Diceros bicornis minor: one gene and its partner. The protein of the gene in region 1 purifies or fractionates together with the protein of each later gene. This does not show direct contact. Links are inferred from orthologs where the notes say so. Each region holds a gene or a part of one and is shown on either strand. Other genes may lie near its edges.

Evidence for each region. The genes of interacting proteins can lie anywhere in the genome.
Region 2: the proteins of NKAP (region 1) and CSNK2A2 purify together in Homo sapiens (affinity purification with mass spectrometry; 5 studies listed by BioGRID and IntAct, counting the BioPlex papers as one, with this or other methods). This does not show direct contact. The link is inferred for Diceros bicornis minor from reciprocal best matches to the Homo sapiens genes NKAP and CSNK2A2.

What each region holds. Positions count from the first base shown.
Region 1 is NC_080781.1:110,402,494-110,410,497, reverse strand, and holds the start of NKAP (NF-kappa-B-activating protein), read left to right. Parts: upstream 1-4,986; 5' UTR 4,987-5,097; coding exon 5,098-5,483; intron 5,484-7,776; coding exon 7,777-7,857; intron 7,858-8,004. UniProt on the Homo sapiens protein: Acts as a transcriptional repressor. Plays a role as a transcriptional corepressor of the Notch-mediated signaling required for T-cell development. Also involved in the TNF and IL-1 induced NF-kappa-B activation.
Region 2 is NC_080771.1:11,518,462-11,526,456, reverse strand, and holds the start of CSNK2A2 (casein kinase II subunit alpha'), read left to right. Parts: upstream 1-4,977; 5' UTR 4,978-5,259; coding exon 5,260-5,363; intron 5,364-6,175; coding exon 6,176-6,287; intron 6,288-7,995.

The DNA.
Region 1 (8,004 bases):
TGGAAGAATTAACATAGCTAAGATATCCATACTTCCTAAAGCAATCTATAGATTCAATCCCTATCAAACTTCCAACAACATTTTTCACAGAAATAGAACAAAGAATCCTAAAATTTATATGGAACAACAAAAGACCCCGAATAGGTAAAGGAATCCTGAGAAAAAAGAACAAAGCGGAGGTATCACACTCCCTGATTTCAAAATATACTACAAAGATATAGTAACCAAAACAACATGGTACTGGCAGAAAAACAGACACACAGATCAATGGAATAGAATTGAAAGCCCAGAAATAAACCCACACATCTATGGACAGCTAATCTTCAACAAAGGAGCCAAGAACATACAATGGAGAAAAGAAAGTCTCTTCAACAAATGGTGTTGGGAAAACTGGACAGCCACATGCAAAAAAATGAAAGTAGACCCTTACCTTACACCATACACAAAAATTAATTCAAAATGGATTAAAGACTTGAATGTAAGACCTGAAACTATGACACTTCTAGAAGAAAACATACGCAGTACGCTCTTCAACATCGGTCTTAGCAACATATTTTCAAGCATGTCTGACCGGGCAAGAGAAACAATAGAAAAAATAAACAAATGGGACTACATCAAACTAAAAATCTTCTGCACAGCAAAGGAAACCATCAACAAAACGAAAAGACAACCTAACAATTGGGAGAAGATATTTGCAAACCATACATCTGATAAGGGCTTAATCTCCAAAATATACAAACAACTCATGCATCTCAACAACAAAAAAACTACCAACCCAAATCAAAAATGTGCAAAAGACCTGAACAGACGTTTCTCCAAAGGAGATATACAGATGACCAACAGGCACATGAAAAGATGTTCAACATCATTAATTATCAGGGAAATGCAACTCAAAACTACAATGAGATATCACCTCACGCCCGTCAGAATGGCTATAATTAACAAGACAGGAAACAACATGTGTTGGAGAGGATGTGGAGAGAAGGGAACTCTCATACACTGCTGGTGGGATTGCAAACTAGTGCAGCCACTATGGAAAACAGTTTGGAGATTCCTCAAAAAATTAAGGATAGAACTACCATATGATCCAGCTATTCCATTGCTGGGTATTTACCCAAAGAACTTGAAAACACCAATGCATAAAGATACATGCACCCCTGTGTTCATTGCAGCGTTATTCACAACAGCCAAGACCTGGAAGCAACCTAAGTGCCCATCAAGGGACGAATGGATAAAGAAGATGTGGTATATATACACAATGGACTACTACTCAGCCATAAGAAACGATGAAATCCAGCCATTTGTGACAACATGGATGGACATTGAGGGTATTATGCAAAGTGAAATAAGTCAGAGGGAGAAGCTCAAATACTGTATGATCTCCTTCATTAAGTAGTAGGTAACAACAACAACAAACAAACACATAGAGACAGAGATTGGATTGGTGGTTACCAGAGGGGAAGGGGTAGGGATGATGGCGAAAGGGATAATTCAGCACGTGTGTGTGGTGATGGGTTGTAATTGGTATTTGGGTGGTGAACATGATGTAATCTATGCAGAAATAGAAGTATAATGATGTACACCTGAAATTTATACAATGTTATAAACCAGTTACTGCAATAAACAAAAAATTAAAATAAATAAATAAATTGGTTGCATTTCTATACACTAATAATGAACTAAGAGAAAGAGACCTCAAGAAGACAATCACATTTACAAATGCAACAAAAAGAATAAAGTATCTAGGAATAATTTTTGTTGTTGTTGTTAGGAAGATCAGCCCTGAGCCAACATCCATACCAATACTCCCCTTTTTGCTGAGGAAGACCGGCTCTGAGCTAACATCTATTGCCAATCCTCATCCTTTTTTTCCCCAAAGCCCCAGTAGATAGCTGTACGTCATAGTTGCACATCCTTCTAGTTAGTGCATGTGGGATGCGGCCTCAGCATGGCCGGAGAAGTGGTGCGTTGGTGCGTGCCCGGGATCCGAACCCGGGGTGCCAGTAGCGGAGCGTGCACACTTAACCGCCAAGCCATGGGTCGGCCCTCTAGGAATAAATTTAACCAACAAGGTGAAAGACCTATACAATGAAAACTATTAAGACATTATTGGGGCTGGCCTGGTGGTGCAAGTGGTTAAGTGCACGCGCTCCGCTGCGGCAGCCCAGGGTTCGCCGGTTCAGATCCCAGGTGCGCACTGACGCACTGCTTGTCAAGCCATGCTGTGGTGGCGTCCCATATAAAGTAGAGGAAGATGGGCATGGATGTTAGCCCAGGGCCAGTCTTCCTCAGCAAAGGAGGATTGGCAGATGTTAGCTCAGGGCCGAGCTTCCTCACAAAAAAAAAAAACAAAAAAAGACATTATTGAAAGAAATCAATGATGACATAAAGAAATAGAAAGATATCCCATGTACATGGACTGGAAGAATAAACATAGTTAAAATGTCCATACTACCTAAAGCAATCTACAGATTCGATGCAATCCCAATCAGAATCCCAATGACATTCTTCACAGAAATAGAACAGAGAATACTAAAATTTATACGGTGCAACAAAAGATCTCAAATAGTTAAAGCAATCCTGAGAAAAAAGAACAAAGATGGAGGCATCACAATCCCTGTCTTCAAAATATACTAAAAGCTATAATATTTTTTGTGTGTGAGGAAGATCAGCCCTGAGCTAACATTTGCCAATCCTCCTCTTTTTGCTGAGGAAGACTGGCCCTGGGCTAACATCCGTGCCCATCTTCCTCCACTTTATATGGGGCGCCACCACAGCATGGCTTGACAAGCAGTGCGTTGGTGCGCGCCTGGGATCTAAAACCCTGGCCGCTGCAGCAAAGCACGCACACTTAACTGCTACGCCACCAGGCCGGCCCCAAAGCTATAATATTTAAAACAGCATGGTACTGGTACAAAAACAGACACACAGATCAACGGAACAGAATTGAGAGCCCAGAATCTATGGACAGCTAATTTTTGACAAGGGTGCCAAGAACATACAGTAGAGAAAAGAAAGTCTCTTCAATAAATGGTGTTGGGAAAACTGGACAGCCACATGCAAAAGAATGAAAGTAGACCATTATCTTATATCATACACAAAAATTAACTCAAAATGGATTAAAGACTTGAATGTAAGACCTGAAACCATGAAACTTCTAGAAGAAAACATAGGCAGTATGCTCTTTGACATTGGTCTTAGCAACACATTTTCAAGCACCATGTCTGACCAGCCAAGGTAAACAATAGAAATAATAAACAAATGAGACTACATCAAACTATAAAGCTTCTGCACAGCAAAGGAAACCATCAACAAATCGAAAAGACATCCTAACAATTGGGAGAAGATATTTGCAAACCATACATCTCATAAGGGGTTAATATCCAAAATATATAAAGAACTCATACATCTCAACACCAAAAAACCAACAAGCCAATTAAAAAATGGGCAAAAGATCTGAACAGACATTTCTCCAACAAAGATATAAAGATGGCCAACAGGCACGTGAAAAGATGTTCAACATCATTAACTATCAGAGAAATGCAAATCAAAACTACAATGAGATATCACCTCACATCCGTCAGAATGGCTATAATTGACAACACAAGAAATAACAAGTGTTGGAGAGGATGTGGAGAGAAGGGAACTCTCATACACTGCTGGTGGGAGTGCAAACTGGTGCAGCCACTATGGAAAACAGTATGGAGATTCCTCAAAAAATTAAGAATAGAACTGCCATACAATCCAGCTATTCCACTGCTGGGTATTTATCCAAAGAACATGAAAACATGAATGCATAAAGATACATGCACCCCTGTGTTCACTGCAGCATTATTCACAATAGCCAAGACTTGGAAGCAACCTAAGTGCCCATCAAGGGACGAATGGATAAAGAAGACGTGTTATATACACACAATGGAATATTGCTCAGCCATCAAAAAGGTGAAATCCTGCCACGTGCGACAACATGGATGGACCTTGAGGGTATTATGCTAAGCGAAATAAGTCAGAAAGAGAAAGTCAAATACCGTATGATCTCACTCATAAACAGAAGATAAAAACAACAACAAACAAACACATACCAGACAGAGATTAGATTGGTGGTTATCAGAGGTGAAGGGGGAAGGGAGGAGAGCGAAAGGGGTGACTGCACACATGTGTATGGTGATGGATGGTAATTAGTCTTTGGGTGGTGAACATGATGTAGGTTTCATACAGAAATCGAAATATGATGTACACTTGAAAATTATATAATGTTATAAACCAATGTTACTGCAATAAAAAGGACAAAAAAAATAAAAACAGTACAAAATATATAGAAATAATATCCATCAACCATGTATTGCTGAGCTAGCATATGATGGGACTAGTTTAAGGGGCTGGACGAGGAGGAGGTTACAAATTCCTTTTGCTGGAGCACACTGGTGGCGATAGGTGGTTGGGGGATAAATATGCAGTTTTTCTCTGGGCTGCGAACTTAATTGGAGTGTATCAGGCTCAAGTCATTAACACAGAATTTGTGCCCTCTAAGCTAACTGGGCAATATGTGGCTTAGACATCATAGCTCACCACCAATATCGATAAACCCTCCTTATTTTGCTTGGGATCGGAAAGGAAAAAGTGTGTGTTTTTGTGTGTGTGTGTGTGTGTGTGTGTGTGTATACTCCTACATACATACATGTACACATAAACATATAAGTATATAAAATTACATAGGCTTTGTTGTTCATACGGCTGCTCAGCGAAATGTGTCCCGTGGCCTGTCGTCCTTTCCTTCAGGCATTTCAACTCGAGGCTGAAGAGAGCACAAGGTCTCTAGTACAGCTTAGACTTGAGGAGCCTCACTCGGAAGAGGAAGAGTGCGCGGACTCGGTTGCCTCACCGGCTACTTTATACCGATACACACATCCTGTCCTGTAGGCAGGACCACCTAGGTCTGGGGAAGGGATTTGCCGACGTACCCGGAAGTGTTTTCAAGGTTCCTTCAGGTTCGGGTAGTGGCGCGGCGGCGGGTTCTGGGAGCCAAGGCAACCGAGATCTTCCCAGGCTCGCGAGAGCGCCCCCTTCTCCCGCTGCTGCGGGGACCCAGCGGCAGCGATGGCTCCGGTGTCCGGCTCGCGCAGCCCGGAGCGGGAGGCCTCGGGCTCTGGGGGGAGGCGTCGCAGTCCGTCGAAGAGCCCTAAACCCAGCAAATCCGCCCGCTCCCCCCGGGGCCGCCGGTCTCGCTCGCACTCTTGCTCTCGGTCCGGGGACCGGAACGGCCTCAGCCATCAGCTGAGTGGCCTCAGCCAAGGCTCCAGAAACCAGTCCTACAGATCCCGCTCGCGCTCCCGCTCCCGCGAGCGGCCCTCTGCGCCGCGGGGCAACCCTTTCGCTTCTGCCTCCTCGTCCGCCTATTATGGCGGCTACTCACGCCCCTACGGGAATGACAAGCCGTGGCCTAGCCTCCTGGATAAGGAGAGGGAGGAGAGTCTACGGCAGAAGTGAGTGAGACGCACCTTCTCTTCCATGAGCCCACCTGTCATCGGAGTCCGATTTATTGTTCATCCCGCTTCTGACTATTCGCATTTCGCTCTCTCTGCCTGCCTTGCGCCCATTTTCATCCCTTCCTTCAATCCACCCAGGACAACACCTTATTCGCCCTCTTCTTCCCTTAGGTTCTCGAGCCCCTTCATGCAGTGCCCTGGTCTCCCGCTGCCCCATTCTGCCTCCTGGCTTGTAGCGGGCATAGCCAAGAGTCTCAGACCTACCGAATTTTATAGCATTTTCTTGGTTGTGTCGTTGTCATTCATGAGCATGTTTTTATTCCCCACTAGACTGAGCTCATGGAAAGGAGGAGCCCTATTTTATTGCTCACAAAACTCACAGTGCTCAGCACTTTGTAGGCGCAACCATTGCTTGTTGAATGATCAGACAGGTTTGAGATGATAACAGGATATGTAAGTGGAAATGCTTTGTAACAAGTTGAGAAAGGTTGAGATTAAGTTAGATTAGGGAGGAGGAAAACCTCTGAGACAAGATGATTGAATGAATGTAGGAACTGTAAATTAGGCTACGTTGAGAAAGGTCTTGTTAATAGGTCTCAATCTTGACCATGAAAAATGAGGTCAGAGTGAGATCAGGTCTCCTCTAATGAGAGTGAGTATTGGAGTGAAAAATGGATAGTTTAAGAAGGAGAAAGGAAAAGGGTTATAATTATTGCTGTGTAAGCCTTAATATCTAATGCTTATTGAGTGTTAAATTATGTCAGGCACTGTACTATGTGCTTTACAGACACTATGTGTTAAAAAACAAGAAATTTAAAAGTAGTATTACAAGCACTGAGGCACAGGTTAAGTTTCCAAGAGCTGGAAGGTGTCTTCAAGAATCTTTTTCTTCCAGGAGTGGGAAGTAATAAAGCACAGTAATGAAGAGGACAAGCTCCAGAATGAGACTGCCTGAGTTTGAAGCCGTGCTTTGCTACTTAATAGTTTCGTGACCTCTCTGAGCTTCATTTCTTCCCCATTTAAAAGGGGATAAAATTAGCAAGAAGGCTTTTAGAGTTGTAATGATTTAGTGCCTGGAGCATAATAGAGTCTTTAAGTGTCAGCTGTTAGAGTTTTGTGCATTGGAGCAGCAACAGTACAAACAGGCCTGAGTTAGGTTGGAGACCTACCTCTCCAAATTAAATTTTTCAGAAAGTTACCCCTGGCTGTGTCAGTCAAAAAGCAACCAGCTTCTTAGTGGACAGTCTTCACCAAAAGATGTCGGAAATTCTTGGATGAAATTTGCATTTGTCCGTTTAGAAGAAAATTTAACTTAAGGGTACACATGAAGCCAGGTGGCAGCAGGGGTGAGAACTTCATTGCTTGCTCTTTCCAGCCTGTCAAGCATTCTTCCCCTATATGCGTATATTCCAGGTTCTGTTATAAGTATGTCCTCTTTTAGACTGTCTGTTTCTTCAAGTGGAAAACCTGAGTCTGACGCTGCATGATTATAGCTTTTCCTCTGAATAAAGAAGTAAAAAAATAGTTTGTTCAATCAAACCAATTATATTTATTTTGTAAGTTGTTTTTTTTAATGAAGTTACAAGCGGCTAAACTTGGAGGAATTGAGCCTTAGTTTTTTTGTGGTTTGTTTGTTTATGAGTAATAGCAAAAATTAAAAGAAGAAATCACAAACATAAAACAAGAAAAAAATTTTAGTGTCCTCCAAGAGTAGACGGAGAATGTACTCCTTTTCCAAAAAGGAATTAAAGAGAAAACGAACCCTGTGTTTCACTGAGTACAATTTTTGTCAAATAAAACTTTTCTTTCATTTTCAGAGCCCCCTTTATTTTCTACTTCTAATGCTTCATTTTTAGTTTCTTCATTAATTCCTGAGTTTCTGAAAATGGAAGATTTGACCAAATCAAAAATAAAGACTTCTCTTTCATAAATATGTGTAAACAAATGAAATTATTTGCAAATGTAAAACTGTTTCTGTCACATACTGGAAAAGATGAAATGAGCAATTAGGAGCTATGTCATGCGTGCAGCAGAAGGGATGCACTTGACAACCTCCCAGGCTGCATTTCTAGCCCGGCTGTTCAGGCTGTCTGTAATCTGTACCATTTGATAGTGCTATCAGAACATCAGATCCTAAGTGTTGAGTTTACATTTAAACCAAGTTTTTATTAATTTAAGTTTAAAATGTAAAGGGAAAATAGGATTTAACTGCACTCCTTTGATTTTGATTATATATTTAGGAAACAGAATTTAGCCATGGAGTTATAATTTACATGCCTGTATCTTCTAGGAGATTAAGTGAGAGAGAGAGAATTGGAGAATTGGGAGCTCCTGAAGTATGGGGACTTTCTCCAAAGAATCCAGAACCAGAGTAAGTGATTAAAAATATATATTTTTTTAAATGTAACGCTTAAATCCAGAATCTGTTGTCAAAATTTTTGTTAAGTGAAGTACAGCTCACATTTAAGTACAGCTCGCATTTTTTTCTTCTTTCCTGTGATTTATGCTATTCTACCCC
Region 2 (7,995 bases), on another chromosome or scaffold:
TCCCCATCTCAAATTCCTAATCCCATCTGCAAAGTCCCTTTTTCCATGTAAGGTAGCATATTCACAGGATCCAGGGATTAGGAAGTAGGTATCTTTGAGGGGCAGAAGGAGCGTTATCCTGCTCACCACAATTACTTGTGTCACTTTGTAAAAACACTCATTAAAAAACTCTTATATAATAAATTTTTTCTCATCACTAAAAATTCCTGGTCATCATAATTTTTAATGATGCCTAATATTTCACTGTAGGGATGTACCACAATTTATTTAACTGATCTCCCAATTGGGGATATTTATGTTGTTTTACATTTTCATGATTAAAGATGATTTTCATAATGAATATCTTTGGCCCTTTTTGGGAGTATATTGAATCAGAAAAAGACTAAGGAAATGGATTTCGTGGTGAGAAAGACCTGAGTTCAAATCCAGATTCCGCCTCAATTATCCATCACTGAAGTCTTAGATAACTAAACTGCGGAAATGGGATCCTTTCAACAGCTCCAATATCACATGATTTTTTTTATATCTTTTCTTTTTCTCCCAAAAGCCCCAGTACACAGGTGTATATTCTAGTTGTAGATCCTTCTAGTTCTTCTATGTGAGCAGCCAGAGCATGGCTACTGACAGACAAGTGGTGTGGTTCCACACCTGGGAACCGAAACCAGGCTGCCGAAGTGGAGCATGTCGAACTTGAACCATTAGGCAACCAGGGCTGGCTCAATCATAGGATTTTTTTTAAACAGTTTTCTTGAGATATAATTCACATAGCATACAATTTACCCATTTAAAGTGTAAATTCAGTGGTTTTGAGCCTCAGGGTTTTTGCAGGATTTGATGATATTGAACACACAAATTGTCATTACTATTAATAATTCTTTGATGGTGACTTACACTATTTTCTTAGGCTAGGTTCTTAGAACCAGAAATATGGGATAAAAACCTATAAACCTCTCAAAGGTTTTGGAAATAAGCCCTGTGAAGATAGAAGGTGTTCCTCTGGAGGTTTTAAATTTTTGTTTTTTGGGTTTTGTGTGTGTGTATATGTTTGGATAGAATTTGGTATGAAATTGTTGGGCTATTTGACTCAAGAAGCCCTCATGCCTTCTCCCTTGTGTAACCCTGAATTACACTCACCCCAAACCCACACACACAGTAATTAGGGGAAGTCGATTCTGGTTTACTGAACCTCCCTGCCCTGTCACCCACCCTTGCAGAGCCACCAGCCTGTCCCTCTCCATATCCAATGAGACTCACTCCTTCAGCGAGTGTTGCATTGGTACCATCTCCAACTGCCCATCTAATTAATTACACCAAGCATGCTGCCTGACAGGCTGGCAGGAAAGAGAGGCAGTGGGTCTCCGCCAACTCCATGGGGTACCCAACCTACCTACTAACAAATTGTAAAAACATACTCCATTTGGCTGTGGGAAGACTGACTGCAGGTTTTAGGGCAGAGTTAGCGAAGTGTCAGCCAAACCCAGGAGCACGTTGCACCAGAGTGATGTGTGGGTGAATCCTGAGGCATCCTGGCAGGTGTGGGAGCAGGTTACGTGAGATGGGTGTGGGTTAGGTGGTGAGGGATGAGAGGAAGGTGCAGGAAGGGTGGGTGGGGTCAGAGGTGCACCAGGGTGGAGGTGAGGAACGGGGCCCCAGTCAGGGTTGGTCCTAGTAGTTAGACCAGTGCTTTGGAACCATTTTTGGGTCATGGCGTCCTTTGAGCATCTGATGGATGCTGAGGAAAGAATGCGTGCGTGCGCTCACACACACACACACACACACACACACAGACACACACACCACAAATTTTGCACACAACGTCAGGGTTTCCTGAAACCCAGGAAGTTCATCCAAGGCCCAGGATTAAGAACTTCTGGGCTAGAGCCAGCCCTGATGGCCTAGTGGTTGAAGTTCAGCACTCTTACAGCTTCGGCGGCCCAGGTTCGCTTCCCAGTTGCAGAACACACCACCCATCTGTCAGTTGCCATGCTGTGGCAGCGGCTCACATAGAAGAACTAGAAGGACTTAGAACTGGGATGTACAACTATGCACTGGGGCTTTGGGGAGGGAAAAAAAGAGGAAGATTGGCAACAGATGTTAGCTCAGGGCGAATCTTTCCCTGCAAAAAAAAAGAAAAGACCTTCTGGTCTAGACTAGTTTACAGAGACTTGTCAGAAAGAAATCCTAAGGCTGCATTAAGAGCTTGAGAATGTTTGTGTCTTCTCTAGTAAAAGAGATTTAGGGAGGTCTGTGGGTTTGGGAATTAAATTGTAAAGTCCAGTTATTCCACAAATGCTTTATTTAGTTTCTTCCAGTTTTTATTTTTAAAATGTTCAAATCTACCAAAAAGTTGCAAGCTCATGTAGTCTCCAATTGTCAACATTTCTCCCTAATTACTCCGCTCTCCTCATGGATGCTCGTGCTCTCAGGAACCCATGTTTTCCTGGAGACTTTCCTTACCATTTGAGAGTAAGATGCAGATATTATGATACTTCATCCCTAAACACTTGGCATGTAACTCCTAAAATCAAGAGATTCTCCTTCATAACCACAACATAATCCCCACACTCACCAAACTTAACATTGAAACAATACTATTATGGAACATACATCCTATATTCAAATTTCCCCAGTAGTCCCAATAGTGTCCTTTTAGCTTTATTCTTTCTCCTTCCCTGCCTCCTTCCATCCCTCCTTTCCTTCCTACTTTTTCATCCAGGATCAAATCCAGAATTAGATACTTCATTTAGTTCTCTCTCTCAGGCTCCTTTAATCAAGAACACTACTCCAGAGTTTTGTTTTGTTTTTGCTTGTGACATTGACATTTTGGAAAAGTTCAGGCTGTTTTGTAGAATGTTCCCTAGTTTGGATTTGTCTGTGTTTTCCATGATTAGATTCAAGTTAAGCATTTTTGGCAAATGTTGCATCCCTTCTTGGTGCCTCACATCAGAGGGTCTGTTGGCCCCTTATTGATGATGTTAAGTTTGATTCATGGTTAAAGTGGTGACCTCCAGGCTCCCCTTTGAAATTAATAGGTGATCTGTGGGGTAACATTGTATTTGTTTAAAGCCTCCAACTGAGGCAAATGCTGGGTGAGCCAATGGTAAACACCCAACTCTGTCCTCTCTCTCAGGCTGTTTTTACAGTGCCAGAGGCAGACAATAACCTAGGAAACAAACAAATAATTACAAAATAGGCAGGTTTCTGAAGGATGGAGATAGGGTGCTGAGATAAGAGAAGTATCAACTCTAACACTTAAAGTGAGCTTAAAGGTGAGACTTGAAGAGGAAAAAGGAGTCAGCCGTGGGAAAGTGGGGGTGGAGGGAGTGGAGGTGGCCTTGGTCAACCTTGGAGGGTGGAAGGAACTGAAAGATGGGCATGTGGTGGTCTAAGGGAGGGCAAAGCGATAGGAGAAAGGCCCTGGGTCTGGTAATAATAATGTTGAACACTTAGTATCTGCTAAACACTGTTCTAAGTATTTCACATGGTTTACTTTGTCTAATTCTCTCCATAGCCCTGTGAAGTAGGTGCCATTACTACTTGTGTGTGTGTGTATGAGGAAAACTGGCTCTGAGCTAACATTCATTGCCAATCCTCCTCTTTTTGCTGAGGAAAATTAGCCCTGAGCTAACATCTGTGCTCATCTTCCTTTATTTTGTATGTGGGATGCCGCCACAGCGTGGCTTGATGAGCGGCATGCATAAGTCCACGCCTGGGATCCGAACCTGTGAACCCCAGGCCACCGAAGTGTGAGAACTTAACCACTACACCACTCAGCCAGCCCTGCCATTACTATCTTCATGCTGTAAAATCTGCAGCACCGAGACATTCAGTTATTAGCCCAAGGTCACACAGCTTGTAAGTAGCAGAGCTGGGATTCAAATCTGGATGGATCTGACTCCACAGTCTGTGCTCTTAACTACATTAAGAAGGAGGAAGCAAGGTCTCACCTAGAAAATAGAAAGTGAAAAAGGATTGGAATCAGAGCAACCTGGACTGAGTGAAGAAGTTCCGCTGATAAAGGATGTGGGATGGGAAAGCAAGACAAAAGAACGGCCCAGAAGATCAAAGAGAGAAGAGAGTTCTGGCCTAGAAGGCAACATAAAATAGGCTAAAGTTTGGTTGGCTGCTCCACCTTCAGTCCATGCCCAACCCCCAGCCTGTCCCTTCAGGCGGGACTCTCATGATTCTCCTGCTCTCCATCCTCCCAAACGAAACCAGGGTATTCACACAGTCTCAAAGTATCTCCCCACAGATTGATTATTAATTACAAAGGGAAAAATAGGAACTTTACAGTGAGAAACCTGGCTGGCTGGGGGTGGGTTGGAGGGTTTGTGAGGAAGGCTCTAGATGAAAAGAGTGGGGAAGTCTTGGGGTTGAGGAGTCTATGGGTGACAGGACAGGGTCCATTGGGGGAAGGGGAGGGGTCTCTGGGAGGGATGGACAAATCTTGAGGTGGGGAGACTCTGAATGATAAAAGCCAGTCATTGGGGAGGCACTTGATGGGAATAGTTTGGGTGACAGGAGGGTCAGAATAGGGTCTATGGGAGGTCGGGTGGGTAAATTCTGGATGACTAGAGGGTAGAGAGCTTGGGGTAGGAGTGTCCAGGGAAGTCCTGAAAGGGTACACGGAGGGTAAAGCTTCAGGGCAGCAGCCTGTGGGTTGGGGAGGCCCTTTGGCGAGCGCGTGCGACCAGACCGAAGATGGGCAGATTTGGAGGGGGCTGCGGACGGCGGGGGGCCGGGGGCGGGGCCGGCGCGCCCGGCAGGTCCCCCCGCACTGCAGGGGGCGCTGTGAGCTGGGCGGCCCCGGGCCGGGCGGCGGCCGCTCCTAGTGAGCGCGGCCCCTTTTCCGGATTTCCTCCTCCTTCTCCTCCTCCTCCTCCTCCTCCTCCTCCTTCGCCGCCGCCGCGGCCGCCGCTGCCCCTTTCCCGGCCGGCGGCTGCCGCTGCTGGTGCCACCGCCGCCGCCGCCGCTTCGGGGCCGCGAGCCGAGCGGAGGCCGCCGAGGAGCGCGAGCGCCGCCCGCCCCGCCGCCCCGCCGGCCGCTCCAGGGCCGGGCCGGCTCGGCCGGCGCCCCCCGCGCCCCCAGCCCGCCCGCCCCCGCGGGCCCGGCCTGGCGCGGCCGCCCGCCGCCGCGCTCCTCCTCCTCCTCCGGCGCCCCGCGGCCCGCCGCCTCCTCCGCCCGCCGCCCCGCGCCCCCGGCCGGGCCGCCGCCGCCGCCGCCCTCTGCGCCCCGCGGCGCCCCCCGGTCCCGCCCGCCATGCCCGGCCCGGCCGCGGGCAGCAGGGCCCGGGTCTACGCCGAGGTGAACAGCCTGAGGAGCCGCGAGTACTGGGACTACGAGGCTCACGTCCCGAGCTGGGGGTAACGCCGCCGCCGCCGCCCCCCGCCCGGCCCCTCGCCCCCCACCCTCGCCGGCCGCCCCCCAGCGCGAACCGCACTCGCCCCCCGGCCCTGTCTCCCCGCCCGCTCCTCCGCTGGGCCCGTGCTTCCTCGGCTCTGGGCTGGGAGGCAGAGCCCCCCCCACACATGTGCTCATCTTCCTCTCCCCCCTTTCTCGTCCGTTTCTCCCCGCCTTGCGCCCCCGTCCCTCCCCCGTGTCCCCAGGAATGCTTTCTTAGCGGCGAGAAGTGTAGGGTCCGGGGACCAGAGCCTGGTGGAAGTGAGAGAGCTCTTCCTCCTCACACTTTTGGGTTTCTATTGGGGTGGGAAGTCAGCAGCTGTCTTCTTGAGCTATTACAATTCTCGGCCTTTTTAGTCTTTTGAAATGAGGCTGGGTGGGAGGAAATTTTTCAAAGCTGTCCAGATTCTCGAAGCTGGCCCTGGCTGCCTTGAGGGTGTGAAGGATAAGACAGGTGCTGTGGCGCCCCGGGCAGAGGGGCACCCTCTGCGCCTCAAGGATGGATGCTTTGCTCATCCCTATAGATTGGCTCGGAGTGGTGCCTTCCTACCTCCTCTCCCCAAGTTAGGAGGGACCAGTTAGGTTAGGAGCTCTGAGCAGAGTGAAGGCAGCCAAGTGTGTGTTGTGGCTTTCATTTAGGGAATGAGTTGTGGTGTGATAGGTAGACACTTCCAAGTGCTTGATTAATGGAAGCGGCTGGATAGGGGTGTATAGTGGGCATAGGCCTAGTTAATCCGAAGTCCTGGCATTTATGTGTCGTTCTTGCCTTTCACAGTAATCAAGATGATTACCAACTGGTTCGAAAACTTGGTCGGGGAAAGTATAGTGAAGTATTTGAGGCCATTAACATCACCAACAATGAGAGAGTGGTTGTAAAAATTCTCAAGGTGAGTGTCTTATGAGTGGCATTAAATTTTTTTCCACAGGTCAGAAGGATATAAACGACCCCAGCCACATTCTAGAGTGAGCAATACGTGCTCTTATTTTGCGTATCTTCTGTCTCATGTCCTTCTGCTATTGCTTCTCCCACCCCATTTTCCTGTGAACTTTCAAGAAAATATGCAGACCTGTTTCGAATCTAAGTTTGATAGTTCAGGACCATCCTTGTTTTGAAATGTAGTTACGGACTCCCAAAGTGAAAATTCCAGAGGGGCTCCATTTGTTCCAAAATAAATAGGTATTCAGAAGAAAGAAAAGCCTTTTCATGAAGATTGCATCAGTCCAAGGGCTCCTTGAGCACTGAGTTTGTTACCCTTGGTGCTCTCAGTTGTTCCAGAAAGCAAGTCGGAAAAAATTGGAGCGGGTTCAAAGATGAGTTTGAAGCCTGAGTGGAGAGAAACACCTTGGTGGATAATCACTTGTTTCTTCTCCTCTGGTGATAAAAGTTTCAGGTGAGGTGGATGTAGTGAGCCAGTAGTGCCAGGAAGGTTCATTGTTGCTTATCAGCTAGTAGAAGTGAAATTGGAAGCAGTAGAAGAGTACACTTGAATCACTAAAATAGTAATTGGAACAAAGCAGTCTTAGTGTCTGGTTTAGTAGCTTAAGTTTGATAAGCTACAGCTTTTGTCATCTCTTGGGTGAAGACCCGATCTTAATGAGCGTGAGGAGTTGGCTGAATTCTCCTTCAGGTGACTGATTGTGTAGCTTTAATAACGTTTTATAGGGTGTACTAAAAAGTGATTCTTAGCATCTGTGAAGGGTTTTCATCATTACCAGATCATTTAACGTGTGTGCGTGTCATTTAGTGAAATACCGAGACAACCAAAAAGTAATTAATATAAGCACTTTTATATCTACAAGATTTCCAGTGTGGCCATTTTGCAGAGGCTCTGAATAAGAATGTGGGATTGAAAAGCTGTTTTTGTGTCTTAAGGATAGGGTTAGGGCAGCTGTGCAGCTGTTTAATATGAGGGGTCAGACTTACATTGTCTGAAAATCACCTTTTGGAAAAGTGATCAACTCTGTTAGTACCATCCTAGCCTAGTGTTGAAGAAGCAGAATTGAATTAGAAATAGGCAGTTATTTGTGCTGTTAGAAACACTGAGAGTGAGAAGTGAGGAATTGATACTGAAGATGTGGAGTTTGACTCCCCTCTTCCCTAAATATGAATTGCACTTACAAAGTCACATGGTCTTTTGTTTTTCTCTTTATAAGCATAAATATTTAAAGAAATGCTTCCTTCAGAGAAGTCACCTGGGGAAGCTATACAGTTTTTTCCTTTATACATAAGCATAAATGTTTTTAATATAAGCTGCTTAAAATCTTTCTAGGCAGTAAGCAAGGCATAAATTGAAATTAGGAATATCCTTATTCCACTGCTGTGCATTCAGAAGAATGAACTGCTGACTCTAAAGCAATTCAGAAAAATGTCTAAACTTTTGTGCCATGGCAGCATTTTTAGAATAAGTCTGCAACTTCCTGTGGTGTCTTTTTTGAAAGGAACAGCATTCAGGTGTACATATAAGTAACAGTATGTTCATTTAGGAAAGCTTTGTGTTGCTCTTTACTTATCCTTCTAGAGAACTTCATAGGGTCAGTTGCTGGATAGTGTTTCCTCTGCTCTAAAGATGTGCAGGATATGTTTAGGGAACCCAT